Linked DNA regions of Nothobranchius furzeri. The protein of the gene in region 2 purifies or fractionates together with the protein of the main gene of each other region. This does not show direct contact. Links are inferred from orthologs where the notes say so. Each region holds a gene or a part of one and is shown on either strand. Other genes may lie near its edges.

Region 1 (10,810 bases), on a different chromosome or scaffold from region 2:
GTGTGTGAATGTGTGTGAATGGATGAATGATACACTGTAGTGTAAAGCACTTTGGAGTCCTTACTCTGAGAGGCGCTATACAAGTGCGGGTCATGTATCATTTAAACATGCCTGGGGGAGGTGATTGACAGCCTATGCCCCTTGTCGGGGCCACAGGCGTACATAGCTGGATAGACTTCCTAAACAAGTGATGTTTTTTGGCAGGTAACATAAATATAGTTTAGAACTGAGCCTATTACACAGGCTTACAAGTACTCAAATGAAAATTGTGTTTGACCTGAGAAAGGCATTTTCATCTCTGAGGCGCTTAAGATCTTTCTCCAGATCAGGAAGTCTTGCGACCTCTGACTTCACATTCTTCACAATAACAATGTCCTGCTCCTGAAGCGCCAGACGTGTCTCCAGTTCCTGCCGCAACAAATGGTTGGATAAGATCTTACATGTCAGATAAAAGAGAAGCCAAAAGCTGTAACAATGGTGAATGTAGCATACCTTAATCTTGATTATGTGCTCTGAGCATGAGGACTGGGCATCTTGGAGACTTTGACAACGTTGAAAAACTTCCTGGTACTTTCTAGAATAAAACAAAAAAGCAATCAGAACTGTGAGGTCAGCATCATTATCTGTGAGCATCAAAAGTCTCTGTACCTGCGTTGTAAATCCAGCTGTTCCTGTAGTTCCTGATTTTCCAGTGTTTGGGTAGATATAGTCAACTCCTGGTTTTGGATGTTCTGCCTGAGATCTCTAATCTCATCCTTCAAAGAAGTGATGGTCTGAAAATAGATTTTTGAGATATGTAAAGTGAAGGAGGATTTTTTTCTGGAAATCTTAATTTACATCCCTTTGTGTTGCTCTCTGGGTCACTACTGAATCTACAAACGCTCAAAATACAGATAAAAACCATCCATCCCTTTTCTGTCAGTGCCGTTTGGAGATTTCATGCTTTGTAGACCACAGATCTGTTATAAAACTTTTAAAAATGTATAATCTGTCCCATTTAAGGTAAACAAAAAAACCATCCATCCATTTTCATCCGCTTATCCGGAGTTGGGTCGCGGGGACAGTAGCCTAAGGCGAGAGGCCCAAACTTCCCTCTCCCCAGCCACTTGGGCCAGCTCCTCCGGGAGAATCCCAAGGCGTTCCCTGGCCAGGTGAGACATAGTCCCTCCACCGTGTCCTGGGTCTACCTTTAGGTCTCCTCCCGGTTGGACGTGCCTGAAATACCTCACCAGGAGGCATCCTGACCAGATGCCCGAGCCACTTCAACTGGCTCCTCTCGATGTGGAGGAGCAGCGGGTCTACTCCGAGCCCTTCCTGAATGACCGAGCTTCTCACCCTATCTCTAAGGGAGAGCCCAGCCACTCTTCGGAGAAAACTCATTTCGGCCGCTTGTATCCGCGATCTCGTTCTTTCGGTCACTACCCAAAGCTCATGACCATAGGTGAGGGTAGGAACGTAGATCGACCGGTAAATCGAGAGCTTTGCCTTCTGACTCATAGGGCTGTAGCGAATCCTCGATGACGTCGACGGCTCGATTCTAAAAATTCGTCGACGTCAGATCCGGTAGTCGACGCACTGCGCCCACTTGTTGCATCCCCAGGAGTTTGTAAACAGAGGTGGAATCTGCCCGTTTTTCCTCTAGTTCGCCCTCTTCTCCACCTTCACTAACATCTCCACCAAATACCGAAGACCCGGAACAATGCCCGTCCACTATTAGATTCCTCCTGTTTTGCCCACCTTCGTCTCCCGGCAACGGACAACTTCCGGGGTCAGATGCGCAGCTCCGTCTCTAGCGCAGATGTAGAAAATCACCGGGAGCGTTTCTCCCTTCATAAAGGAACTTCCTTCAGACATTAACGAGAGCTGTTTTGGTGGTAGCAGTCTCTCCTCCGTGCTGGTCTGTTTGCTGCTGGGTGTTTTTGGTTTATTTAAACTTGTATCTTGAACTTTACGTTGGTAAAGCTACTGTTAGCATTTTCGCTAACAGCTTCTTGCGTTTGGATAAGCTGTTACGTTTTGGTTTAGAGCTCATCTCTTTTGTGGTGCAGATCTCCCTTTTATTACATTTAGAGTGTTGTGGGTTTTCAGTTTAGTTTAAAATATCACCTTGAGTTTGGTTTAACCACCCAGTTTAGAATTTGGACCTTTGGAGATCCTTATTTTGGTCCAGAACCCTGTAATCTTTGCCCAGTGGGACATCCCTACTTATTTGTACTTTTGTTTTAATTCCCCAGAGGCAGAATTAGTTTTATTAATTCCCAACCTGTGGATGGAAAGGTTTATGTTTTTTTGTAGTTGTAAATAAACCTGATCATCACTTTAACTTTTAAATCCCGTGTTGTTGTCCCTTCCTTTTTGCACACGAGCCAAACTCCCCAGGAAGGGTCGTAACACCACTCGCCTCACGCACATAAGTGACCAGAACAAAGCAGCATGGAGACACTCCATCTCCAACCACCTCTCAGGCAGCAGCCTGCTCTCCCAAGTTCTACACGTCACCAGAACATAACCAACAACAACACAATAAAAGCAGTGTTATAAAAAATGGAAGGCCTGTATGTTTATTCTCTTACAGTAACAATTTATCAATTTTTTGAGGAATTTATTAGAGATATTTTGGTTTTTATTAACTGTGCAATAGAAAAATAATCATTAGATTAATTGTCTAAATAGTCATTAGAATAGTCGACTATTCGATAAAATAATCGTCAGAATAATCGTTTTAAAAATAATTGTTTACCCCCAGCCCTACTGACTCAGCTCTCTCTTCACCACGACAGACCGGTACAACGGCCGCATCACTGCAGATGCAGCCCCAATCCGCCTATTGATCTCACGCTCCAGTTTTCCCTCACTCGTGAACAAGACCCTGAGATACTTAAACTCCTCCACTTGGGGCAGGACCTCATCCCTGACCCAGAGAAGGCACTCAACCCTTTTCCGAATCAAGACCATGGTCTCAGATTTAGAAGAGCTGATTCTCATCCCAGCTGCTTCACATTCGGCTGCGAACTGCTCCAGCAAAAGCTGGAGATCACGTTCTGATGAAGCCAACAGGACCACATTATCTGCAAAAAGCAGAGACCTGATCCTCAGGCCACCAAAACGGACGCCCTCCACACCTTGGCTGTGCCTAGAAATCCTGTCCATAAAGGTTATGAACAGAATCGGTGACAAAGGGCAGCCTTGGCGGAGTCCAACTCTCACTGGGAACAAGCCCGTCTTACTGCCGGCAATGCGGACCAAGCTCTGACACCGGTCATACAGGGACTTAACAGCCCATATCAGAGGGCCTGGTACCCCATACTCCCGGAGTACCCCCCACAGGGACCCCCGAGGGACGCAGTCAAACGCCATCTCCAAATCCACAAAACACATGTAGACTGGTTAGGCAAATTCCCACGCACCCTCCAGGATCCCCCTAAGGGTATAGTGCTGGTCCAGTGTTCCACGGCCAAGATGAAAACCGCATTGCTCCTCCTGAATCTGAGGTATAACAATCCGACGGACCCTCCTCTCCAGAACCCCTGAATAGACCTTACCAGGAAGGCTCAGGAGTGTGATCCCCCTGTAGTTGGAACACACCCTGCGCTCCCCCTTTTTAAATAAGGGGACCACCACCCCGGTCTGTCAGTTCAGTGGGACTGCCCCCGATGTCCACGCGATATTGCAGAGCCGCATCAGCCAACACAGCCCCACAACATCCAGAGCCTTAAGGAACTCCAGGCAGATCTCATCCACCCCTGGAGCCTTGCCACAGAGGAGCTTTTTAACCACCTCAGTGACCTCAGCACCAGAGATTTGAGAGGCCAACCCAAAGTCCTCAGACTCTACTTCCTCACTGGAAGGCGTGTTGGTGGGATCGAGGAGGTCTTCGAAGTACTCTGCCCACCGATCCACAATGTCCTGAGTAGAGGTCAGCAGCACACCGCCCCCACTATTGATAGTGTTCGTAGCGCACTGCTTTCCCCCCTGAGGCGCCGGATGGTGGACCAGAATCTTCTCGAAGCCGTACGGAAGTCTTGCTCCATGGTCTCCCCGAATTCCTCCCATGCCCGGGCTTTTGCCTCGGCAACCACCCGAGCCACGTTCCGCTTGGACTGCCGGTACCCGTCAGCTGCCTCTGGAGTCCCACAGGCCAAAAAGACCTGATAGGACTCTTTCTTCAGCTTGACAGCATCCCTAACCGCCGGTGTCCACCAGCGAGTTTGGGGGTTGCCATCACGAAAGTCACCGACGATCCTGCGACCACAGCTCCGGTCGGCCGCCTCAACAATGGAGGCACGGAACAGGGTCCATTCAAACTCAATGTCCCCCACCTCCCCCGGAACATTTTGGAAGTTCTGTGGGAGGTGGGAATTGTAGCTCCTTCTGACAGAAGACTCTGCCAGATGTTCCCAGCAGACCCTTGCGATACGTTTGGGCCTGCCTGGTCGGACCGGCATCCTCCCCCACCATCTGAGCCAACTCACCACCAGGTAGTGGTCAGTTGACAGCTCTGACCCTCTCTTCACCTGAGTGTCCAAGACATGCAGCCGCAGGTCAGATGAAACGACAACAAAGTCGATCATCGAGCTGCGGCCTAAGGTATCCTGGTGCCAAGAGCACATATGGACACCTTTATGTCTGAACATGGTGTTCATTATGGACAATCCATGATGATGATGATGATGATGATTTGATTCCGTTACAACTGGTACATAAGTCCAATAACAAAAACCACTCAAATTCAGATCGGGGGGCCGTTCCTCCCAACCACACCTCTCCAGGTCTCAGTCGTTGCCCACATGAGCGTTAAAGTCCCCCAGCAGAACGAGGGAGTCACCGGAAGGAGCGCTTTCCAGCACCCCCTCCAAGGTCTCCAAAAAGGGTATGTAGTCTGAACTGTAGTTTGGTGCATAAGCACAGACCACAGTCAGAACCCTCACCCCACACGTAGGCGGAGGGAGGCTACCCTCTCATTCACTGGGGTAAACTCCAACGTACAGGCACCAAGATGGGGGGCAACTAGTATGCCCACCCCTGCTCGGCGCCTCTCAGTGGGAGCAACTCCAGAGTGGTAGAAAGTCCAGCCCCTCTCAAGGAAACTGGTTCCAGAGCCAGAGCCATGCATTGAGGTGAGTCAGACTATATCTAGTCAGAACCTCTCAACCTCACACACCAACTCATGCTCCTTCCCCACCAGAGAGGTGACATTCCATGTGCCAAGAGCCAGCTTCTGTAGCCGAGGATCAGACCGCCAAGGTCCCCGCCCTCGACTACCACCCATCACACATTGCACCCGACCCTTTTGGCCCCTCCCATGAGTGGTGAGCCCAAAAAAAAAAGCCAGAAACACAAAATAAGTCTGTGCGTACCTGGTTGGCTGCATTTAGCAGAGTGTCTCGTTCCTCCAGTTTCTTGTTCAGACCTTCCACTTTCTTACACAGAGAACTGTTTTCCTCCAACTGCTCTGACAAGTTCTTTTTGGCTTCGGTCTCCCTTTCCTCCAATTTTCTAATGCGCCCCAAAAGTTCTTGATTCCGGTCCACTTCATGCTGGAAAAAAGAAAGAAAGACGTAAACAAGGTGGATAAAAGAACACTGAAGAAAACTCTGTGTGTAGTACATCTAATAAAAACACATCAACCAATCATTTTATACTGTGATAAATCAATGTGCTGCTATATTTGAGTTGTGTACCCCCAAATCTCGTGCACTTTCAGAGACCGCCTTCTCCAGCTCAAAACGAGCTCTTTTGTGACTCAGTTCCATCTGTTTCTTTTCCTGGTCCAGCTGTAGATAGCGATGCTGAGTGTGAACCCGCTCTGCTGCTTCCAAAAGCTAAAACAAAGACAAAAGAATTAACCTGCCTTATAGCTAAATATTGATTTTACTAGAATTGACGATAAAGCAAAGGATTTCTGTTTACCTCCATTTGGCGTTTGTACTGATTTTGCAGGTTTCCACTTTCCGCTGATCGCTCCGACTGCAGCTGAGAACGTTCAGGGCGACTTATGAAGGTATTGAAAGACCTCAAAGTTGTTAACACAGTAGTGTCATCTTCAAAATCCATTGTATAGACCACTGGTGTTACTGACTGCACACAATTTAAAAAAAACTCTGGAAATGAAAAAGATTGAAACATCAGAACTTCCTCAATGACAAACACGGACAAGAGCATAATTTCACATAAGTACCATATTTAAAAAATGCTGTAAACCTAAAACTAGCTAGAAATTTTTGCATTAGTATTAATACACAGCTATTATTAGTCAAATACACCAACTAATTTTAAAATGTATTTCTTATCTCTCCAATAAAAACGTCAATTTTGCATATAACAAGGTTAGTTGTAGCAATTTTCAATAAAAGTAGAGAAAAACTAAAACTCCGTCCTTTAATAAGCAGTCACAACACTGTCTTTACCATCTATGTGTGTGCTCTATTGCTTAGCATGTCTTTGTAAAATTACAAACAGAATAAAGTGCATATCAACTTTATAACGTGGATTTGTAGCATAATCATTCATTAGCTTCCTTGATTAGCTCAATAATGGAAGCAGAACAAGTAGCAAACAAGTAGATAGAATGTCTAACATGTAGGCTATTTGATTCGTTTTCAAGTTCGGTTTTTCTGCTTTTTAAAGATTTCCAAGACGGTGAGGTTTTGACTGTTGTTTTTAGCCATGGACTAGCTACACAAGCTAAACATTAGAACTAACGGCGTTTATGCAGCTTCTCAAAACACGTCACAAAGTTATTAATGTTAAAGTTTTCATCAATGTACAACTTTTGGCAACATAACACCGTACCACATAAACGTCTGTAAACAGGTGGAGGTCTGTCGCAGATAAGTTATCCCCACTGCTAACGAGTTAGCACTTTAGCTGCTCGTTGGAAAGCCCTCCAGTTTTACTCGAATGGGATGCACGTAACATCGCGAGACTATCATTCTCTATCTTTTTCTTTTTTCCTGTTAATTTTCTGTGGCTTCAATTCAAATGTATCATTCGTGTTTTGTAGCAATGTTCAGAAAAACTAAAATAAAAATACAAGAATACAGCAAGTCAATAGAAGTAATAGTTTTTTTTTTTCATTTTAATTATTAAATGAATTACATGACTAAAGCTGTTGGGCTTTTCTGTGACCAAAAGGACATTTCAGTAGGCTAACTCAAGGATGTGTGTATATTCTATTGCATAGATTTTTCTAGCCTGGCCTACCTGACTCGTCCTCTGTTTAATTCTGCACAGAAAACGAGTAGAATTAAACAGAGGAGTCTTGCTGGCCAGGCTAACATTTTTCTGCATAAAGACAAAATCCCTAATTTGTGTAAACTTGGAAACAAACCTAAATCTGATTTTATTTAAATTTTATTTACCACAGAAATTCCAATATATTTAAGAATACTATTGACCTGCACATTTGTGTATGCTTTTGAAACCTAAAATCAGGGCTTACAAGATCCGGGAACTATCTTATTTTGAAAGGACTGTTCTGGCCACTGTCTGCTAGGATCCGGCGACTCACGCAACAAACTGGAAGCCCTCAACACACACCCAGGGGGAGCCCGAAACGATCCTGGTTCTACTTACAGTGGGGCAAAAAAGTATGTAGTCAGCCACCGATTGTGCAAGTTCTCCCACTAAAATGATGGCAGAGGTCAGTAATTTACATCATAGGTACACTTCAACAGTGAGAGACACTGATTTACAAATAAATTCTTTAAAAATCCTGCCATGTGAATTCATGGATTTTTTTTCACATTCTGTCTCTCACAGTTGAAGTGCACCTATGATGTAAACTACTGACCTCTGTCATCATTTTAAGTGGGAGAACTTATCGGTGGCTGACTAAATACTTTTTTGCCCCACTGTATATTACATTGTCTATGTGGATTCTCCAGGGATATTTAATTTAAGTAAGAGCTGAGAGGCGCAAAGCTCTGATCATTGGTGCGCTCCAGACAGACGTGTCCTGAGCACGGCCACAGTAACATTCTCAAAGTGTCGCCACCTCAAAAACAAATTTAACACGCAATTGTTTATGCCTGCTCATATCCTTTCATGCTTTCTGTCTTTTATTTGTGCCTGATGCGTTTTATTGCTGCGGTGCAGAGCGCATCACCTGTTTAGTCCTCCAGTGAATTCACCTCACAGGTGCGGTCAGCGCTCACTCCGCTATTTTCGCGGTCGGTAGATCGTTTTGAACTGTAGTTCAAAGGTAACTCATGAAGTGAAAAATATGAAAACAGGTAACAGTTTTTCTTTAGGATTGAGGGGGGATGCAGGAAGATAATAAACAGACAGGACAGAAAATAGTCACATAAAAAACAAGTTTGTTTTCGTATCGGGTGGTTGCTACAAACAGACACCAATGAAGGTAATCAGAAGTGAGGAACAGAAAATGAAATAATTATTTCAATGTTTAGATCAGCAGGAACTCTGAGAGGCTGCAGGTGCATCAGTGAGTTTGCGGCCGCTGCACAAAATCTAAAAAAGAACTGAAAACCTACAGGACACATAATGTAATAATAAAATACATAATGGGTTCATATATGAGTGTTTAATGTCGCTGAGCAGCTTTAGAGTCAAATATTTATGCCACAGTTCAAGAATGTCAGAAATGACACCAAATGAAATGTTTGACTTAGATATTTTATTTGAACCCAGTGGTCTCATTTCTGAAATGTTGGAGAATGAATCAAGTTCTGTTTGATGCAGAAAATAATAAAACATAAAACAAATTCTACACTTCCAATAATATTTAAGATGTGTGTTTTATTCTTCCTGATAATAACACCAGCAGAAGGCTGTGGGCTGGATTAGGATTAAATTACCCAGCTGATGGATCTCTTTCACTAACCAGCTAACTACAAACCTTTCCACTAACCTGTCCTGTGTGACCCTCACCATGTAACCCTCATGTCCATGCTGTCTCTGGAGGAGCAGAAGACAGACCTCCTGTAACCTAAAATGAACCAAAGCTTCCTCCCAGTTTTTTTAATTGAATCTAACATCAGTTTATCATCATGAAACAAAAGAATAAAGTGGAACAAGAACTTCTATCTTCTATTTCTCTCTCCTTTTAACTTCTCAGTGTCCCGAAATAAAAAAGAGACAGATGATCACGCTGCAGCCGCCATCATTGACCCGGTGTTGTGCCATAAATCGACAGGCTGCCAAAAAATGATTAGCCACCGTGGCATGGACGTAATTTTTGGGGGGAGACAGGGGGACATGTGCCCCCCCCCCCCCCACCACCACCACCACCACCACCACCGCCACCACTTTTTCCAAAGTCAAGTTTTGACCCCTGCACTTTTTACCATCCAAAAACAATATTAGACCATATTAAATTGACACTGGTTGAGCTCTAGGACCAAGCGGAAAACAACCATTTGTGTTGAAGCCTGTTTCCCATTAGAACACACTGTAAATATAACCCCCTCCTCGTGTCCCCTCCACCGCGGGATCGCGCACGGTTAGGGTAATTGCATTTCTAGACGAAATTCCCCAGGATTTTGCCTGAAAACTCAGCATATGTAGCAATATGGACATTCAGAAAGCAGAGATAACCTCGTCCGGTACTTAAACAGATGTTTATCGCGGATATTAGTTTTTCCAATTCGGAAGTTGTTATAAGTGTTGCTATTTGTCTTAAACGTTCACAATGAGGATATATTAATCCTTTTTGCAATATTTGCCATTGAAAGATGGTTTGTGGTAAGAACTGGCTATCTTTATGTTACAACCGTGATACTAAAAAATAAATAAAATATGTAAAATGGCACCCTGTATTGAATGTAAAGTCAAACGTTGTATAAATGCACATAAACAATTTTCCAGCGATTTGATTTTTTTCCCCCTTCCTTTCTTTAGTCCACTTGACATGGAGCCACAGTTGTAACTAGTTTGGGGCACATTTTTACTTGAAAAATAGTATTTAAACTGATCAAGCGTTGACTTTACAATGACACTGTGTAAGTTGCTATCTATAAATTACTTTACTCTATTTAAAAGTAACAAGATAAAAGCACTTCAGCACATAAAATTAAGATTGTCACTTGCCAAATAGTGACTATACCCTCCTGTTTACCTATAAGAAATGCCTAAAAATATCTTAAAATTTTTTATTGATGATTTAATTGTAGACAACAAAAATGGCATTTTACTTGCCAAAAAGTGATTGAATCGCTCAGTTTTTCACTGAGGCTAAAATTGACCAAGTAAGGGTTTTATGAATTATCTGCTGATGTTACTGTACTCATACTGTCTACTGTATCATCATAAACACCCCAAAAATGGCAAAAAAAAAAAAAAAAAAAAAGATAATTTCCCTTGCCAAAAATTGATTACAGGGTCCTGGTCACATGTAAAGGGTTAAATTTACCTAAACATTACCTTATTTATTATCTCTTGATGTTCTTAGTCGCATCACAGGATGCTGGGTCTCTGCCACATTCATAAACACCCCAAAAATGGCAACAAATGATCATTTCCCTTGCCAAAAATTGATTACAGGGTCCTGGTCACCTGTAAAGGGTTAAATTTACCTAAATATTACTTTATTTATTATCTCTTGATGTTATTAGTCGCATCACAGGATGCTGGGTCTCTTCCACATTCATAAACACCCCAAAAATGGCAAAAAATGATCATTCCCCTTGCCAAAAATTGATTACAGTGCCCTGGTCACCTGTAAAGGGTTAAATTTACCTAAATATTACTTTATTTATTATCTCTTGATGTTATTAGTCACATCACAGGATGCTGGGTCTCTTCCACATTCATAAACACCCCAAAAATGGCAAAAAATGATCATTCCCCT
Region 2 (10,739 bases):
AACTAAGCTGTTGGTGAAAGAGCTCATTGTAGCGTTCCTCAGCTGTGGAACCATGCTTCCACTGTGTGCAGATGATTACGAAGTCATGACAGCACAGATTCCCGAAGAACGGAGCTGATAACATTGTCCTGCCACAAGATCACATTTACAGCAGTAATTATGAGTCAGGAACCCAGAAAGCAGCTGTTTCACAATACTTCTGTTTTCCAGCTGTGTGAAAGGTCTCCACCTGAACATGTGCATGTCAACACGGGGGTTCAAAGTGCTGCTGTCTTTGATCATCGGCCCCTATCTGCCCTTCCTGGTGGGCTTTAGTCGGGAAGATGTTCGCCGGCTGTTCCCTTTCTTTGAGAAGAATGTCTGGGAAGTACTGAGGGAGAGTGGCTACCTTCACATTCAGGCCACCAAGCCAGATACTGCAGGTGAGGCTGTGAGACGGGCTCAAGACGACTTTTCTTATTTTCACAATTTAAAGGTGGGGCAGATGTTTGTGGAGCTTTTTTGCCATAATTGCTCTTCACATATTGACTTTAATCGCTTCTGAAACGTACAATCCTGGAAAAACCTCAACCAATCACTGTGACTGTCCCGTTGTAAAGGATGGGATCGTGATCCATCAAACTGCCCTCTGCACACTCCTCTTTCAGCTTGGAGCTCACGGACAGGAAAAGAAGCCAGGGCCGGGCTAGCTAGTGTGTCGAGTGGAAGTTTCCATTCAGGTTACAGTTCAGTTTAGTCTGCTTCTGCTGAGAAAGATTCAGGTGACAGGCTCGTCTGAGCGCAGCCTGTCCCGTCGACTGGCGGAGCCGTCGGTCACTTACCTCGGCTACGAGCACGCATTAAAAGCCGGCATGACAAAACAAAAGAGCGATTGGGAGGAGGATGTGGAGTTTTCCCAGATTCTTGGTGATAGTTTGCTGCAATGAAGCTAAAACTGTCACCATAAAAACTCCCCATTATGTTAGCCATCATACGTACTTGTTATATAGTTATGTAGGCGCCATATTAGAAATATGGCAGAAAAGGAGCCAATAGCAGTTCAAAAACATACAACTGATTCCTCAGGAACAAGTATGTGTGTTGCTTTGTCCTAAAGGCTCAGCTTAGAGGAAACACCTGAGGATGTTGGACCTTTAGAATTGTTTATTTTTAAAGTTGTTGCTTGACTGGCAAGAAAAACATCCTCATATCCGACCTACGAGTGATTTCCTTCTGTGTTTGCAGGCTGTGGGCTAAACGACTCCCCCGTGGGCTTGGCAGCCTACATTCTGGAGAAGTTTTCCACCTGGACTAAAAAGACGAACAGAGACCTGGTTGATGGTGGGCTGGAGAGGTACTAAAGATAGACATGCTTTAGTCAGTTGCTGCCCTCTGTTATGAACTAGAAATGTCTTTTTTGTACAGAAAGTTCAGCCTGGATGACCTTTTGACAAACGTCATGATCTACTGGACCACAGGCTCCATCGTCTCCTCCATGCGCTTCTACAAAGAGAACTTTAAGACCAACCCAGAGAGCCGAATCGATGCAAAGTAGGAGACCAAATGCTCACATCAATTTTAATCTCATTTTATAATTTCTCTAACGATCCCACCTTTTGCTTCAGGACGGGAATATTTGTGCCCACCGGTCTGGCCGCGTTCCCTCAGGAGCTGATGCACTGCCCCAAGTCGTGGGCACAGATTAGGTATCGAAACATCTGTTCCTACACGTTCATGCCAGCAGGTGGCCACTTTGCCGCCTTCGAAGAGCCCCGGCTGCTTGCGGATGACATTTTCCAGTTTGTTAAAAAAGTAGAGAAGCTCTGAAGACTTAAGCGTACTCCCGGTTTCATGCAGGTGTTTTAGTATTTTATTATACCTGATAGTCTGTACACCACATACACATCTTTTTTGTTCCTTTCCACGCCGCGAGTCTTATCGCTTGATTTACCACATTATTGCAAAGATGTAAACATGAACCAGACCTCGGCTCACCACTGTTCCCTTATGACTGAGGAAAGCTTTGTAATTGTTCAAGTTCTGTTCAGTAAAGGTATATTGCACTGACGTTTGTGTTGCTGCTCTTTTTCTACACCAGAAAAGTAATTCTCTAGAAATATAAACACAATCGCCCACCAGTCATGCCTCTTTAGGAAGCTTTCGCTCTGCATCAGAAGCTTTAAAAGGTAAGACACCACGACGGTCTGATGTAGATCTGCGTGACTTGAAACAGACAGAAAACGCACATGCACAGCTAAGTTTAATACTTAATTTGAACGCCCAATAAATTTGACCAGATTACACTTCTGGAGCGGTGATCCAAGATCAGACAACACACTGCTTAACTTTAAGGGTCGGTTGCTAAGCCCTTAATGGTCATTGGTGCTTGGAACCACACGTAATCCTGCCAGTCTGATCCGTCTGCCTTTAGCTTCTTACAGGCGCCGGGGTCAGTAGACAGGGCAATCACTTGCTTTTTTACCCGCGTTGGGACTTTAAACTGCATCTTAGGGCGGAACCAGTCCACACCACAATCCCTGTGGGCCAGCGCCAACACTGTGGTGGGCATTAAGCGAACGGGTTTGGTGTCGGACAAAAGGTCGGCGACAAAAAGAGTGCGGAACAGTTGCCTTAAGCATGACGACACTCGTAGAGGCTGACTTCCATCGGCCAGTACCAGGGCCTCCATGTTGATCTCGTATATCTCCTTGGGGAGGATGACCGAGCTGCCCATCAGCAGTAAAACACGGGGGATCCTGCTCAAGGAAAACAGCACCTCCAGTCGCTGCAGCACCTCCTCCATCTCCTGGAGAGTCTGATGGCATTTACGCCGGTCCTTATTGGCAGACTGTGCGAGCCTCCGACTCACTGCATCTTTATCCTGGGAAGCAGAACGTCCCAAGCACTGTTGGTTAATCTCAAATCTACAATAAATTCACCTGACAGTGAGACATTACATTTATGTATTACCTGTGCCGTAGTATGCAGCTTCTTCTGGGAATAGACCAGCTGGTCGTATGTCATGGGTAGCTGTTGTCTCTGATAGAGAATGCATTTGAGGATTTCGCTGACGAAACGATAGCAGCTGTTCTGAGTTACGGCTCCAGGGAAGGCCACGTCCACACAGCCTTCTTCCCGTGCTCGTCTCACCACCTCGGCATCATTTTCCTCTGTGTTAACTTGCTGATTGTTGGCAGTCTGATCGAAATCCGGCTCAGAAGGGTCCTCTTGTGCATTATCTGTCCAGAACCAGAATAAAGTTATTACAGAGCGTAATGGACCCGTCACGGTCAACGTTAATGAAATGTATCAGAGCCATTATTCAGATAAACCTGATGAGCTCACTCGTCTCAAAAACTAACATGAGGAGTGAAATCAGGCTGTGGAGGAAGATTACTTTTGATTCTAATCAGATCAAATCACTTACAGAGTCGCATCTTATTGAGATTTATGAGACCTGTGCTTCAGCAGGACTCAAATCTTTTAAATCACACAATCACAAGACCCAACACACCACCACATTGTGCTGACTCATCTCCACTAAGGGAGTTGATCTTAAATGCTGAACTCTTTCTGCAACCAGTGTCAGAAATGTGTACGAGTGTCCTTCCTTTAACTTACTCCAGTCAGGAGGAGCAGAGTCATGCAGCGGGACACCTTTAAACCCCACAGGAAGTGCTGTGTCAGCCATGAAAAAGGAGTTACATCAATGTGACAGATTTCAAAAGAATCTGCATGAGCAATTTTCAATCCTCTTTGTGGCTTTTGAGTCACAAATGTTTCCAAATGCGATTCAAGGAAAAATGGTGCAAGATGTTTGTTTTTGCTACTAAAAAGTCAAGATGAATATGCAAATGTTAACATTTAACAAGTCACATTTAACTGAGTTTTGCAATTGTGGTTTGCAATGCACGTGGCAATTTTTTCCTAAATAAAATGTTGAACTGCATCACATGACACAATTAAAAATCTGATATTTAATTCTTAGTAAAAAATGTGCAAAAAAGTTTTTTAGATTTGAAAACTGACCATCTGTTGGTAAATATCCTTACAATTTTTGGCATCTTTAAAAGTAAACCAGGAATCTAAAAACCACATTTTAGCAAAAACAACATCTTACAATAAATGCATTATTTATTTCTTCATTTAAATAATTCCAAAGTTTACATAAAAGGAAAACTAGGTCCACTAATTCTTGATGTTGACTCTTTTCTCTAGTTTTATTTTTAACATTTAGGTAACCAATAATGAAAAGAGCCTTAAATGAACATAAATGCGTCAGGTGTAACCACGCAGACTGATGGATGACACGTAAGCTGAGGTAATGCAAATTAAAGAGAAAGAACATTGCAAACACAGCTTAAGGGACTTTTGAGGTAAACATCTTATTTCAAATGAGACGATCCTTAAAAATAATCTAACTACAACAACCGTGCTGAAAATTCAACGGTTCTACTTGGTGCTTCTCATGTTGTAGTTTTAATATTTAACCCTAACCCTAACTGGTTTAGTGAAATAATCATACTTTAACAACTTGTATCTTTCTAAACATCTTGTTTTATGTTTCTCTTGTTCTGAAATTACCCGATCCATCTAGCCGTGATCACATGTATATTTTATTGGCGTTATTGGGCACATCTAATGTGGTCAGTTGCATTTAGTTTTGTCCACAAGCAATAATTTGAAATATTATGTTGACATCTGACATCATCAGGCGTTACCTACTGATCAAACTGACCGGCACAAGCTTATTTTAAGTTGATCAGGAAACAGTTTGGGTATGAAACCAAATATAGCTGCACATTAGCCTAAACGGATCAAAAGCAGGAAAGTAAGCTAACTCTATGCTACCTGCCTTGAGACGTGGTTGTGGGAACAGCAGCATTTTCTTTGGCTTCAGTAGAACTCCCTCTGCGTTGTTCTGGACACTCTTCTCTTATTTTACCATCATTTTTCGTCTCTGAACATGTGTCGCTGGCATCAGACGGGAGTCGTTCAGCTCTTCCCTCTGGCTGGCTCCATGAACTGGAGACGTTGGAGACACTTTCCGCACTGCCGCCTAAAGGCGTTATTTCGGGTTCTCCATCAACGCTAACATCCTTCTGTGGTGAAAACGAGAGCCGTCCCTTTATCCCGCCACCCGTGGTGTCAACAGCGGTCTCCGTTTCTGTGGCCGCCGCCGAGACTGATGTAGGTTTTGAACAAGTAGAATTATCTGCCATGTTTTATTTTTGAAAGTCCGCGCCGGTGTTTTCTCGCACTGCATCATGGGAAATCCAATAGATGTCGCATTCAAGCTACGTAGCACAAAATCGGAAAAAATAAGCTTCCCAACGCCACTCTGGTGTTCTTACAATAATTTAACTATTCTTGTTTCATTTATTTTACTTCTCAAGAAACGATTTATATCATCATCATATTTTGGGTTCACACAAAACGTTTGTTGTTATTTGACAGCCCTTCTGTTTCTGGTAGCAGCTGCAAGGACTTATAATGCCTTTTTAACCTATGAATTGTGAATGCAGGACATTTCAGATATTTGTTTTTTGCACACTACAGATTCAACCACGTGTAATATTACCAAACGACAGTTTCGTCAATTGGAAACCAAACGTTTTTGTTATAAGTAAATATTTATGAAGTGATGTATTGTCTGATCTTGCCCAAGGCACATTTAAACGGAGAACGTGCTTGAGACACCCTCTAGTGGACAGTTTATGCACTGCATCGACAACGTGAGGATCAGTTCCAGGTGTGATGATTAGATTAGGTGGTAACAAACAAGGACAAGGTTTGCTTAAAACTCTAGCAACGGGACGTTGGCTCTTCGTCTGTCTGGTTTGATTAATAATGTCTTCAGTTCAGGTCGCGGTGAGAGTGCGCCCTTTGAACAAAAGGTCAGTAGAACAGAGTGACTTATTATTTTAACAGGAAAACAGAAAACAAACTTTTGCACGGCTTGTTGCAGAGAAAAACAGTTGTCATCAAAGGTGATTGTGCATATGAAGGAGAACACCGCATCCATTCATAAGGTAGGCTAGACCGTCACAGAATGAATTCTACTTGAGTTCATTTGAGTGATTTTTTTTTTATTTCAGCCTTCTTCTTTACGTGGAGACAAGTTGAAGGACAGAGGCAAAATCTTTTCTTTTGACTTCTCTTTTGACTCAACTGACAGTAAAAGCTCCACGTTTGCTTCCCAGGAGAAGGTGCTGTCTGTGTTTCATCTGTTTAACTCTTATTTGCACCAGTGTTGAACCACTTCTTGCATTTTATTTCTATAAATGTGTAAAATGGATATTTTACACCTGTTTCAGATTTTCCAGGACTTGGGATCTGATGTAATAAAAGCAGCTTTTGAAGGTTTCAACGTCTGCTTGTTTGCATATGGCCAAACGGGCTCAGGGAAAACTTACACCATGATGGGACATAAGGTAAGTAAAATACTTGCAATATGCATGCTGAACACTGCAGCGTAACGGCAATATTTACGACTTCACAACAATCAGTGCTGTATGCATACCTCTTCTATTATACCTCCGTCTTTACTCTGCATGTGATGACCTCTTGCCACTTTGGACCCCAACTGAATGCTGCCTCATTAGACTAGCTTGTTCTTCCTCACTAGTCAGAATTTTTGATGAGTGCAGCAACACACACACACACACACACTGCACTAGGGATTTTACACTAGGAGGTTTCTGCTTGGGGGACTTGTGCAAGGTCATCAGCAGAGTTGCTGTCAACATCAGAGATAATTATATAACTTAATGCTTACTGTCTGTTACTTTGTAATTAAAAACAAGAGGACGTACTGCTCCGGCTGGGATTGCTTTTATGCTTCACTACCTCCACAGCTGATGAGCTGCTGTTGTTCAGCGGTCTGTGTGTGTGCTGAGTCGTGGTTATGGCATGGTGTAGACAACCAGATTAACTGAAGTATAATAGGATCGAAATGTAATTGTCATTTCAGTGCGAGCTTCGTCTATTTCAGCGGGTGTAAAGGCAGATGTCTTCTCAATTTTAGGTGGATAAAGGTTTAATTCCACGGATCTGTGAGGGCTTGTTCTTGGAGTTATCCAACAGAAGCAAAACTGAGACTGTCTCATTTCACACGGAGGTCAGGTAAGGCCGTATTATCGTTGCCTTCTGTTCAGCATTCGTTGCTTCTTCAAACCTGTTGTGGTGATCAGTTTCAGTGGATATTCAACACATTTATGGAAGGATCCGTCCATCCATTTTCGTCCGCTTACTCATGGTTGGGTCCCGGAGGAATTGGCCTAAGCAGGAGGCCCGGACCTCCCTCTCACCAGCCACTTGGATCAGCTCCTCTGGGGAAATCCCAAGACGTTCCCTGGCCACCTGAGGCATAGTTCCTCTAGCGTGTCCGAGTCTTCCTTTGGGTCTTCTCCCAGTAGAATGTGGCTGGAAAACTTCACCAGGAGGCCTCTTAACCAGATGGCCCAGCCACCTCAACTGGCTCCTCTCTGTGGAGGAGCAGCAGGTCTACTCCAAGCCCCTCCCGGATGACTGAGCTTCTCACCGCTCGTATCCACAATCTCGTTCTTTCAGTCACTACCCAAAGCTCGTGACCACATTCAGAGTGGGAACGTAGCTCGACCGGTAAATCAAGAGCTTAGTCTTCCGGCTCGGCTCTCTCCACCACAGCAGATCGGTACAACGCCCGCATCACTGCAGACGCCGCACCAATCCGCCTATCGATCTCCCGCTCCATCTTTCCCTCACTCGTGAACAAGACTCTAAAATACTTAAACTCCTCCACTTGAGGCAGGACCTCATCCCTGGCCTGGAGAAGGAATTCTACCCTTTTCCGACTTGTGGGCGGATGTGAAACGATAAATTTAATGTCCCATATTTAGTTTTGTACATAAAGAAACGATAAAACCCTCAGAATAGTGCAATGTTCACAAGAGGCATCAAATCAGTATTTATTTACTAAAATGACATATTTAATCGTAGCCAGAAGAATCAGACGTGATGAAGGCACGTTTGCCATACATGGAGAACTCTTCAGAGGTTTACCGGCCAGGATTACATGCAGCCTGTGCGCTGGGCCCAGACACATGGGCAGTCACATTTTTTAGCTGTTTAATGAAACTTTAACTATGTGGTTGTTTAATCTCCACCCTGTTCTAACATGACGCTAAATCAGAGCTGATCTGGACTGTTTGCCCTAAACGATCTGTGAACTTCTGAGAAAATCTGAAGATTTAACCTGTAAAGAGTTCAGCCCTCTGGACGAGGAAGAAAAAATGTTCATGCACAACACATCACTTACCGCACACAGCACCTGTTTCTACAGAGAAAACCAATTCATGATGCCGTCATCTCCCCCACACTTCAGCCCCATGAAATATTTACAGAACGCTGTGAAAAGGTAAATCTAAGACAAGGATGTCATTTCTGAAGCAAGACCTGAATCTTCAAATAAAAGGTAGACGGGAACATTTCACCAAGCTGGCTGAGACTGAACGGTGTAAAAGCAAGGCTGCCTGACCCATTACTACCACTACTACCACTACTGCTTTCCTAATTGTTCAGATAAAATTTTTTGACAAATTTGATGCCTTTGATAATTTAGTTCAGTGCTAAATAAGGTACTTTGTCTATATTGGCTTCATCTTTTAATAAAATTTAAACTATTTTAAGATGTTTAATACAAACATTGAATTGTCTTCAGTTTTATAAAAAAAGGGGGAAATTCAAATTAAAGTTGTTCCTTAAACTAATTTATTACGGCAAAAATCACCTCTTAGGTTAAAAGCTGGAATTTTTAAAGCAACACACATATTTACTAGGTCTCTAAGACCCGGTTTCCACATATGTGGACGTTGATGTCCTTCACTAAACTTTTTTTATTTTTAGAGGAACTTTATTGACTTAAAGAAAAAACATTTTAAAGCTTAAATTTTTTTCCAGACGTTTACAGCAACTTGGAGCGGCCACCCACACAAAATAAATTGGAGCGATATCACGTTCTAACATAGCTTTATAATTTTCACATTAGTACAATGTACTATCGCGTTCTAACAATATAATATTTATATTGTATAAATGTGATTATTATAATATTGGAACAATAAAGCAAATGTGATATTACTCCAATTTTATTTTGCATGGGTGGCCGCTCTACGCGGCTGCAGAAGTTTGTCAAAATTAAGATAAAAAAAACGTTTTTGCATGTTTATGAGAGTCGACTAATCTGTAATGCCTACAAGTGTTTTTTCTTAACGCACACCAAATACAAATTCGGGACTTGGGAGGTAAAATAAAACAAATGAACACCCATGCAAACGTTATTGCTTCTCCCAGACATTTGCAGGCTTATATTTTTATTTGTGGTATAATTTAAGCATGTACGTTTATTTATTTAATTTTCCTGATCTTTGTTTCCTAACATTCACAAAAAGTCAGTAAAAACCCTATTTTAATCCTGATTGAGTTCTCAACAGTGTTGGAAACATCCATAATGATGCATGCATGGCTACATCCACCAGATGCATTTCTTTGTTTACGCCGTTAATTCTTGCACGGTCCTAATGCCTAATTGTTTGATTCCTTTCATTGTTTCTGAATTTGTGACTCTGATTTAGTCACAGCACAAACCAACAATGGTTTTCACTGAACCTCGCTGCCAAGCCTATTATGCATGTAATTGTTTATTTGTTGCCAGAACAACCAACTTTCAAATTTGGCTTTAAAAAGTAACTTGTTTCCATTTGATGCTCCGCCATTCAGTCAGATTTGTGCCATTGTGTCCTTGTGTAAAACCTTGAATTAGTCTTTTTTATTATTTTTAAATTTATTTGTCTTCGCACCAGCTATCTGGAGATCTACAGCGAACGTGTTCACGACCTTCTGAAGAAGAAATCACCAAGCACTGATGGAGGGGGGTTGAAAGTGAGGGAGCACCCCTATGAAGGACCCTACGTAGAAAGTAACGTGTTATTTTTATCCTTTTTATTCTTAAATACGTTGTTGTAGAAAGTCTGAGGACAAAGATACTTTTGTAGATCTGTCGAAGCACGTGGTGCACAGCCATGGCGACGTGGAGGCTTTGATCAGTCTTGGCAACACCAATCGTACTGTAGCCAGCACAGGCATGAACGACTTCAGCAGCCGCTCGCACGCCATCTTCACCATCACCTTCACCCAGGTCAAACACGCAGTTTGTGTTGTTGCTTTGAACTAGTTTGTTAAACATGTGGCATAATCCCTCCTCATACCACAGGCATGGTTTGATGCAGAGTTGCCACGTGAGAAGCGGAGTAAAATCCACCTGGTGGACTTGGCGGGCAGTGAGAGAGCTGATGCCACCCACACCGCAGGCCCCAGGCTGAAGGAAGGAGCCAACATCAACAAGTCCCTGGTCACCTTGGGGAGTGTGATCTCAGCTCTTGGTAAAAGCAGCTACACACACAGTGACCTATTGGTGTTGGCTAGTGCTGATCATATCTTATTGTTCACGGATTGGGATTAAAGCCGTACTTCATTTTCTTGAGCCAGTATGTCCTAAAATAAACCTGTGCATGAAAGGCCACCCCCTGTTGCCAGAATATTCCACTTGCAACTTCAGAGTGGCCGGTTTGGTGTGTTGGACTACCTAGCGCTGCAGTCTGCTTCCAGCATGTTACTTGCATGTTTTAGATCACGAGCACAGCTGATTTGTTTAATTTAGTGCTGAATCACTCCTGTAGACACTAATGAAGGCTGGGGAGACATTTTAGCTGTTAGATTAA
Region 3 (10,043 bases), on a different chromosome or scaffold from region 2:
GAATGAAAATAAATTTAAATCCAGATGTTCCAGAGTTATGAATAATGCTAGAATTAACATCATTCAGGTATTATTTACATTGATCCATCTGGCTACATGCATGTTTTACTGGAGTAAAGTAGTCAGCTGTTTTCAGACAGTCTCAGCCAGTCAGACGGAACTAGCAGCGATGCTATCGGCGCTAACAGGAACACAGATGTTTACTGGCCGAGAACCCGGTTCATTGAGCGTTAACGTTTATACGAGAGGAGCTGATCCTCAAACAGAAACTTACTGGCTTGTTGTCACAATTAAGAGCGATCCAACGTGTGAAAAATAAACGTAGCACTTCCTGTTGTCATCCAGACTGAACCACAAAGTGACGACGACACTGCGCAACTATTTTAAAGCATTTCCACGTCTAGTTAGTTGGAATCAAGACGCGGTCCACTGGACCTAAACAGGAAGAAAAGATGCTACAGGGATTCTTGTGCACCCACCGTCACTGTTGGTGACAATTAACGTTTCAGATAAGGCGCCAGACACCGAGACAAAAAACCTGCAGCACTTATCGGTAGGGATGCACCAATTCGATACTGGTATCGGTATCGATACCGATACCAGTATCGTATCTGTTAACTTTTACTGATACTGGTATTGGTATCGGTAAAAGTTAACAGATACGATACTGGTTTCGGTATTGGCGCAGATACCAATACCAGTATCGGTGAAAATCAACCGATACAATACTGGTACCGGTATTGATACCAATACCAGTATCGGCACAAGTTAACCGATACGATACTGGTATCAGTATTGGCGCCGATACCAATACCAGTATCGGTAAAAGTTAACCGATACCAATGCAGTTGCTTGAAAATAGCTTCACTGTAACTTGTCATTTCTGTTCACCCAATATTTTAGTTTTGTGATGATTTCCATTCATATATTTTACTTTTTAACTACCCCAGTCTTTTCCTGTTGAAAGCAGAGAAGAAAATAAAATCTGTAATCCAAATCATTGTTTTTTTTTTGTGTGGTAGAAATATCGGCATCGGCGAGTACCCAGACCCAAGTATCGATTTGGGAAAAAGTGGTATCGTTGCATCCCTACTTATCGGCTGACCACGACCGCCTCATGCCGGTATCGGCAATAGAAAAACCGATACCAGTCGACCTCTAATCCAAAGCATTGCTGAGGTTACTCGTGAAGCCTAATTTATACTCTGCCTGCGTTGGGATGGAGACGCACAGAAAAGCCCTTCGACGTGCTCGCAGACGAATTGTTTTGCAACAACCCCCAGCTGATGGAGAAGACTGAAAGCCAAATATCTGTCGATGCATGTGCATCTCTCCCTCGTGGAGCTGATGGAGAAGTATAAAATAGGCCCACCAGCGGCCACTGCTCAAACACCTTCAGGATGATCTCTCTGCACACTGAGCAGGAGTCTGCCTCCCAACCCCACTTACCCAGCCGATGAGTCCAGGACGCATCTCACAGAAAAACTTCAGATCAAAGCCTTTGATACGAGGATTCAGCTCTCGTCCTTTAAAAAAGTCATAGACCACGTTTCCTGAAGGGACAAGTAAACATCTGTTAGCCGTCTGTGGATGCCTCACCAGACTCCAGGTGTTTCCACATACCCGAGTTCCCCCCCAGAGCCAGCTCTCCAAGACCAGCAGAGCGAGCGCGGACAAACAGGTAGACACTGAGGAGCAGGGAGACGAGGAAGGAGGCCACAGCCAACTGCAGGAAGTGGCTGTGAATGTAGGTGAGGTCCACATCGAGGTACATCGCTGCTGCCACCACAGCGGCACTCACCGCGAAGGCAAAGAACCCTGGACAGGGACACAGAGGACATGGACCGTCACACACAGAACAGGAGACGCATCCCCCTCAACAAGAGCACGCCTGTAGTCAGATGAACCTCTGACTCCTGTAGAGGAGTGAGGAATAGTCATCCCAGTATTCCAGGATAACATCCCAACAACAAGACTTCCTACTAGGGTCGGGCAATATAGAACCCTTTTCCAACCGATACTGGTCATCAGTCCAACATATGATGGGCGATCAACTCATGCAGGTGATTAGAGAAGTATCGTAGGTCTGACACACACGGCACAGAGCGCACCACTCACAGCCACTCCCATGCCCCGTTCACACGGTGTCGTTTTTGGCTCTTAGCCAAACCCCTCGTCCTGAGCAGAATCGAGACAAAAGACGGTCACCACGAGGGTGATTTGCATGTATGTGCACGTACGGTGTGACCGGCTCCACAACAGCTTTTTGAGCCGTCTCATGACCAAACAGTCTTCCGCTTGAAAACCTACGATTCCTGTCTGCAACCGACCAATGAAAACACACTTTTGGGACGGGGAGCATAAAGAATCAAACACAAAAACATCCGATGGCTTTGCTGTTGGTGGAAATTTCACATTTTCAACTGATGGTTCTGTAGTGTTTAGTGTTGCAGAGAGACAAGAGGAAGCTCAGTGACAGCGGGTGTGATGATCTCACGAAGAGGAGCAGAGACAGAACTCTTGGCAAAAGTTTAGATAACGGAGCGATCTGTGACCGATCGGTACTTCTCTGCAGTTTAGTGGGGTTTTATGTGTAAAGGAGGATGAATGTGCAGCTGGAAGACGGGAAAAAGAGACCCACAGCTTGAGTCTGAGACCAAAGCGAGGGCTTGAGGAAGAGAGCTGGGTCATGAGCAGACTCTAAAAGAAGTGTTAACGGAAGTGCTTTACTCTATCTTTTTAGCTTTTTGGTTATTGGTCTGCTTAGGGACGTATGCTTTTGGCGACGTAGCGTGTCCTGCTGGGGCGAGACGTCATTGCAGTCTGCCTGTGTACCTTCTAGAGTTCCCAGTGTGGCATGAACACTCGTGTGCAACAGCCAAACATCACAGAGTGATCCTGGCAGAAGCAGAACACAAGAGGTCAACATGAGATGGAGGAGATTACCCCAGCAGAGGGAAGTAACCCTTGGGTCAGGTAAGATATGGATTAAAAGCTAAGCTAATGTGATAACAGGGTAAATGCAGGGATCTCAAACTTTACTTTTTTTAAGAACTTCTAAAAATACAATTAAGACTTTATTGCAATGAACTAATCAACTATTAAGCACTCACATTTTCTTTTAACCCTTGTATTGTGTTCGGGTCAATTAGATTTTTACAATTTTAGTCAATTTTGAACGTCTCTAAAAAAAAAGGTAACATTTGTGGTGTCATGGGCCAAATGTGACCCGGCAGAAAATACTGGCATCACTTTAAAACTGTAGGCGTAATTCCATGTGGATCACTCTCCTCCCTCCCCACTAAGGAGTCACTGGTGTTGCCATGTCTGCCTGTCTTAAACTGGTTTACGTGTGAGACGCTCTGGTCAGTTGCAGGAATGTGTATATTGGACGGTATTATTCTGTAGTAGCATAAGTCAACATGAGCAATGGATTTACTGTATATACATATATATACATACATATACATGTATATACATACATATATATATATATGTATATATATATGTATATACATATATATGTATACATATATATATGTATACATATATATATTACATATATGTATACATATATATATGTATACATATATATATGTATACATATATATATGTATACATATATATATTACATATATGTATACATATATATATGTATACATATATATATTACATATATGTATACATACATATGTATATATACGTATATATACATATGTGATATTTAGCAAATTTCTAGTAATTTTCTACCAGTCACACAGTTCAAAAAAACTAAAAACCTTGTCCATTTATTGGACCCATTGAAGAACGAGCTGTCAGCAGTTCTGCTGTGACGTGACATTGTTCTACACACACAACTTCACTGCATCCTCTGGGCCTTTGTTGCTGACCCGGCACGGTCTGGTCCACCTCATTGTGTTCAGAAGTGCTCTCTAGTTAGGACTAAAGAGACCGATGCTGGCTCAGCATCACACACTTACCGTTGGTTCTGTATCGAAGTGTCTCACCAGACCTCAGTGGGACACCATCACTGAGCTACGGAGAAAGAGACAAAAGTCTAAAATCAAACCAGAGACAACAGTAGATTCAAACGTGGACAGAAACCCAGCATGGGTTCTTGTGGAAACGGGAAAAACTATTATATTTATTTTGCTTCTGCCTTTTGCCAGGTCATGTGATGCTTCACAAGGATGCTAGAACAGAGACACGGAAGCACCGCCCACCTCCCAGTAGACTCAGGTCCTCTCACTCACCTTTCCAATCGGTAAAATGTAGAGCAGAGCCTGGAGCAAGATCCAGAGGAGCACAAAGCCAAGAGCCCGGAGGTCCCAGAAAGTCTCCAGAGGAGGAAAAGGAGGAGGGAAGTTAGTCAGACTGGGGTCTTCTTGGTTGACTTGAAGAATCAGAAACAGAACCCAAGCTGGAAGGAAAAGCAGCCAGAAAAATGCTCCTGTGGAGTAGATAACCACACTATGTTGTTATACTGGAATATATCCGTCATCCCACAGGGTAAAGTTTACCCACCTAGCTTCCCTCCGAAATCCAGCGGGACAGGCGGTGTGGCCCAAGCAGCTGCCAGTGTCGTAGCCCCCGGTTGCTGCTTGGGTTCCGGTTTAGCATTTACTGTTTCCACATCTCCGTCATCCTTCCTCCGGCGCAGATTGTAACGACCCTGGCTCCTCTCAGGCTGCGCCTCTTCTTTGTTCTCAGGCTGATCCGTTCAATAAAGAAACAAAGCAAAAACATCTGGTGGGAGTACTGCTGCGACAGAACCAACAAGAAGCCAACATCACAGCACACACTGACGGACTGTAACGGGTTGTTGGCGTTGCATTGTACTCTGATCTAGGGTTAGAGCTCGTTTCCCCGTGTCCTTCTCGGCTGTAGAGCAATCAGAATTGTGTCTGAATGACAGAACAAGCCAGGTTTGACTCTAGTTGCAGCTTCAGCTATAATGACCCACCTGATATTAAAAGTGGCCATAGGTGAGGGTAGGAACAGAGACTGACCGGTAAATCGAGAGCTTAGCCTTCCGGCTCAGCTCTCTTAAACCAAGACAGACCCAGCACCAATCCGTCTATTAATCTTGCGCTAAATCTTTCCCTCACTCGTGAACAAGACCCTGAGATACTTAAACTCTTGAGGCAGGACCTCATCCTTGACCCGGAGAAGGAATTCCACCCTTTTCCAACTCAAGACCATGGTCTCTGATTTAGAGGAACTGATTCTCATTCCAGCTGCTTCACACTCGGCTGCAAACCGCTGCAGCGAAAGCCGAAGATCATGTTCTGATGAAGCCAACAGGACCACATCATCTGCATAAAGCAGATGATCGATCCTCAGGCCACCAAAACAGATCCCCTCAACACCTTGGCTGTGCCTAGAAATTCTGTCCTGAAAAGTTATGAATGGAATCTGTGACAAAGGGCAGCCTTGGCCAACTCTCTTCGTACGACGTACTGCCGGCAATGCGGACCAAGCTCTGACACCGGTCATACAAGGACCTAACAGCCCGTATCAGAGGGCCTGGTACCCCATACTCCCGGAGTACCCCCCACAGGGCCCCCCGAGGGACACGGTCAAACGCCTTCTCCAAATCCACAAACACATGTAGATTGGTTGGACATATTCCCACGCAACCTTCAGGACCCCCTAGGGTTGTCACGGTAACCGGTATAGCGGTAAACCCCGGTAAAAAAGTTGACAATAAAAATAACCGTCCAGTTTTTAAAAAACTATATTATCTCGGTGGGTTTACCGTGGCCGCGGTTTCGGCGCGGTGACCCTTACCAGCCACCGTCGCTTCAGCTGAAGTTCCCGCGGCGCGCACACGCACTTTTTAATTTGCAACGGCACCAAAACTTTGAAGCTGAAATAATGGCCGAAGGAGGAGACGGCAGCGCCCAGGACATCCATCAGCCCTCAAAGAAGACTAAATCGGAAGTATGGGCATATTTTGGATTTCTGAAAAATGCTGAGGGACAGTTAATAGAAGACGGCTATCCCGTTTGCAGAACGTGCAGGAAACAAGTGTCTGCAGAAGGCAGCAACACTTCAAATCTCATGGCACATCTGCGTGACGATCACCCACGTCTCCACAGCCAGTGCAAGGTAAGATAACATTAGCATTTTAGCTGAAATGCATGACGTGAGGACTTTTGGTTGAGGGAGAATGCAACGAGTCACTATATACTGCAGCCGCAGCGTCCTCTGGCAGCATTTAAACCGTGTCACGGACACCCTGTTGCTGGATGAAGCATCTTATTTGTTGATGATGAAGAGAAATATACAGTTAGTTCCTTGTCATGTATTTGTTTACTTATTCAATGCCATTTATACTTGAACATTTGGATTTGATTACATAGTGTAGTAGTTATTTTAGTCATTTGTTTAAAGTGGCTATTTATTTTAAATACATATTTTTTTAAGGTTGACTTGTACAGCGCTCAAGTCAAGTGTGGACTGGAGTTTTAGATTTTCATTTTGATAATGAAGAAAACAAGTATATGAGAAAACAAGTGGTGTTTCTTTGATTTGTTTACATATTGTTTATGTTTTGAATGTTTGGATTTGTATAATTTAAACCTGCACTGACTACTGTAACATGTTCCAGAAAAAGAAGCTATTTGTTCCTTTACTTGTGAAAAGTTGCACTTTTGCTAAGGCTTTGTGTTATTTTAGGTTTAATAAACACTGTTAAACCTTTTCAAAACTATTTCAGTTTGTGTAGAACAGGACTATCAATGCTTTCTGAACATATGCAACACCGTTTAAAAAATACCGCGATAATACCGAAAACCGTGATAATTTTGGTCACAATAACCGTGAGGTTAAATTTTCATACCGTGACAACCTTCAGGACCCCCTAAGGGTATAGAGCTGGTCCAGTGTTCCACGGCCAGGAAAAAACCACATTGCTCCTCCTGAATTTGAGGTTCGACAATCCGGCGGACCCTCCTCTCCAGAACCCCTGAATAGACCTTACCAAGGAAGCTCAGAAGTGTGATTCCCTGTAGTTGGAACACACCCTGCAGCCCCCCCCTTTAAACAAGAGAACCACCTGCACGAGTCTGCATGAGAATACCACTATCAAAACCACAGAAGAAGAAAGGCTTGGCACATGATCAAATAAATGTACTCAAAAATGAAGCGGTTAGGAATACGTACACTGAAGGAGCATTTTAGACTTGGAAGTTGGCTAAACGAGCCCAACATCAAAGTGCTGAGCATGGAAAACACGGAGACAAAGACCCACAGCTAAATGAAATGAGACCAGCAACAGGTCAGTCTGACACGACTGCTTTGTGACAGCTTCTCATTCGATGACACCTGAAATCAAGGAGTGGGGGACCGGATTGGACCACAGCTCAAGACTAACCTCACTGACTCTGGGAGCCATGCTTTTCTCGTCCTTCTGCTCATGCTTATCGTTGCTGTTATTCTCAGTGGGCCTCGTCTGTAGCAGCCGTCAAACAGAGGAAGTAGAGATGAGACACAAAGAACAGACATGTTGGGGTCAAACGCTAGAATTAAAGGGAGGTAGGGACATTTTTAAATAAGCTAAGGTCTCTTCTAAGATCTTTTTCAGACAGAAACACATTGCTAATAGGGCTGGGCGATATATGGATATTTTTTAAATATTGGTGTAATTTTTAAACAAGATATAAGATGACTTTATATCTTTATATCGATATCACTGGTCAAACTGCTATGCTAGCGACATGTTGCTCCGTCTCTAAGCGGTTGTTACACGTATTCTCACAAGTTTGTTCAGTCTGAGAGCCTCTGGGTAAACGTGCTGCTCTAAACTTTGCATTTGGCAGCATGGTTTTTAATTATTTGGGACGTTCAACACCAACGGAGTTCTGTTTTTCCATCCTGCTTGTGCGGACCCCTCCCTCCCTTCCCTGTGTAACGAGGAAACATCTACGGATAGCCGGAGTGGCCAAATTACCTAAATATATTGTAAGTGTTTGAATAGTAAAGCATGGGGTTAATGTTTTATTTTGAAGGCGAGCTCAACGTTATTTTCCGCTCTGGTTTGCTATGCTAGTAAATACTCTGTTACGAGCGATTCTGTTGAAAAAGTGTAGCCTGGCAACCAGAGACTGAGTCATTACAGTATAATCGCTGATATGAGCCAATACTGTTAGACTCCAGCCATGTTTGCCCTGATAACTAATAACTCCACGGTGCATGACCCATGTGATCTTCAGTAGATGCAATGACATCATCATACATTTAGTTTAACATGATAGATTTATTTTCTCTGGACAAGAAATATACGATATCGGCCACCTCTAGATGAAATTTAAATATTTTTACATTAATTATAAATATATAATTAAAAAGTGCCTGTGGGACATTTGATACACCTCTAGCTCTCAACTGTGTGTGTGTGTGTGTGTGTGTGTGTGTGTGTGTGTTAACAGACAGCTGTACCAGAGAATAGGCACTAAGCTTAAAGTTTGACAAGAATCATTACATTTTTATGCATTTAATCTACTGATTTATGTTTATAATTTCTCACGACAGCTTGAAGTGAGTTAACGTGTAAATATTTTACAGGAGGAAAAATATCGAGATATATATCGAATATCGGAATTCAGCTAAAAGACAAAGATATAAGTTTTGGTCCATATCGCCCAATCCTAATTGCAAAGATTATTTTGTACCTGAAACCAGACTTTTTACACAATGAATACACAGAAATTTACCTTCAGCCGACTAAAACAGGTAAAGGCGGAGATACCTACTTTATCTAATTCTATTTTGTAAGCACACATAATACTGGGATGAGCCTGACCTCCAGCGCGTCTCTCTGCTTTGGGTCCTTGCGAGACGGTGTTGCACCATCCGCTATCGCGGCGGCAGCAGCAGCAGCACGAGAGGAAGAGCGCCGCGTGGTCCGCGCAGGGGACCGCGACCGACTGCGACGGCGTCCTGGTGAGCGTGATCGGGCCTGGAAGCCAGCGAGACTCTGTCAATAGTGACAACAATCATGGGGGAAAAAAGGAGATCAAATCAAGTATCCATAAGAAAGTGAAATAAAACCACAACATAAACAAATACAGGTAAAACTAACTGTGGTCCTACCATGATGTCCTGCTCCTTCAGCTCCAGCTCTGTTCCATCCTTGTAGATAACTGTGTAGAGTCGACTTCTGGAATCGTAACCGAGTACCTTGACCTCATAATACAGGCTGCTACCCGGCCAACGGCCCATCACCGTGTCTCCTGTCGGGTACTTCGGTAAAGGCATTTTTAATTACCTGAAGAAGAGGAAACACCAGTGTTAAAGACACACTTCACTCGTTTTACCTAGACCAGGGGTGTCAAACTCATTTTAGCTCAGGGGCCACATTGAGGGAAATCTAGTCCCAAGTGGGCCGGACCGGTAAATTAAAAAAAAAAAAAAACTTCTGATTGTTCTCTTTGTTTTAATACAATCAATATAAAACAAGGCTGGAGCCTGAGGACAGCGTAGTACAAGTACAACACCTGAAGTGTACTTGAAATTTTGGAAGAAAAAAAAAAAAAAATTCAACAAAACAAAAAAAAAAAAACATTGCTTAGTGATTCAAAGAGCTTACAGATCACATGGCAAGATCAGTTTCATGCAGCACTTAAAGTATATTTGACTCATTTTACTTTACATCTTTTAGCTTCACCAGCACATCAACATCAGAAGTCACATCCTGAGTGGCGGTGAACTTCAGGATGGGATTCAAGTTCTTGTGTGAGCCTTGAGCGCAGCTTTGTTTTATTTATACTCATTACAGAGAAAACTTGCTCACACTGATAAGTTCATTTTTACTCTACATTGTAAAGTATCAAAATAAAGTTTACACAACCATCTCGCGGGCCGGATTTAACCTGCTTGCGGGCCGGATTTGGCCCACGGGCCGCATTTTTGACACCCCTGACCTAGACATTTGCAGCGGTCTCTAATAAGGAACCCGAGTCTACTCCCCTTCCGGTCGGCTCGTGGGTCCCTGAACAAGGTTCTGGTCTTCTTACCTTTACGCCCTCAATCACACGCGT

What was found.
Region 1: the proteins of mad2l1bp (region 2) and mad1l1 purify together in Homo sapiens (co-immunoprecipitation; 4 studies listed by BioGRID and IntAct, with this or other methods). This does not show direct contact. The link is inferred for Nothobranchius furzeri from reciprocal best matches to the Homo sapiens genes MAD2L1BP and MAD1L1.
Region 3: the proteins of mad2l1bp (region 2) and lbr purify together in Homo sapiens (co-immunoprecipitation; 3 studies listed by BioGRID and IntAct, counting the BioPlex papers as one, with this or other methods). This does not show direct contact. The link is inferred for Nothobranchius furzeri from reciprocal best matches to the Homo sapiens genes MAD2L1BP and LBR.

Annotation. Positions count from the first base shown.
Region 1 is NC_091744.1:8,651,200-8,662,009, forward strand, and holds the start of mad1l1 (mitotic spindle assembly checkpoint protein MAD1), read right to left. Parts: upstream 6,928-10,810; 5' UTR 6,793-6,927; intron 6,102-6,792; 5' UTR 6,055-6,101; coding exon 5,911-6,054; intron 5,823-5,910; coding exon 5,682-5,822; intron 5,538-5,681; coding exon 5,358-5,537; intron 774-5,357; coding exon 649-773; intron 575-648; coding exon 493-574; intron 409-492; coding exon 278-408; intron 1-277. UniProt on the Homo sapiens protein: Component of the spindle-assembly checkpoint that prevents the onset of anaphase until all chromosomes are properly aligned at the metaphase plate.
Region 2 is NC_091752.1:315,042-325,780, forward strand, and holds mad2l1bp (MAD2L1-binding protein), read right to left. Parts: upstream 5,243-10,739; 5' UTR 5,202-5,242; coding exon 4,835-5,201; intron 3,219-4,834; coding exon 2,950-3,218; intron 2,861-2,949; coding exon 2,327-2,860; 3' UTR 2,224-2,326; downstream 1-2,223. Other genes in the region: ephx5 (epoxide hydrolase 1), read left to right, coding at 211-422, 1,225-1,333, 1,405-1,530, 1,605-1,806; uncharacterized protein kif16bb, read left to right, coding at 5,830-5,876, 5,948-6,011, 6,078-6,188, 6,297-6,413, 7,007-7,104, 9,822-9,937, 10,014-10,156, 10,232-10,400. UniProt on the Homo sapiens protein: May function to silence the spindle checkpoint and allow mitosis to proceed through anaphase by binding MAD2L1 after it has become dissociated from the MAD2L1-CDC20 complex.
Region 3 is NC_091742.1:28,042,698-28,052,740, forward strand, and holds part of lbr (delta(14)-sterol reductase LBR), read right to left. Parts: intron 9,272-10,043; 5' UTR 9,262-9,271; coding exon 9,097-9,261; intron 8,981-9,096; coding exon 8,807-8,980; intron 7,457-8,806; coding exon 7,379-7,456; intron 4,712-7,378; coding exon 4,525-4,711; intron 4,451-4,524; coding exon 4,254-4,450; intron 4,036-4,253; coding exon 3,981-4,035; intron 1,819-3,980; coding exon 1,624-1,818; intron 1,554-1,623; coding exon 1,450-1,553; intron 1-1,449. UniProt on the Homo sapiens protein: Catalyzes the reduction of the C14-unsaturated bond of lanosterol, as part of the metabolic pathway leading to cholesterol biosynthesis.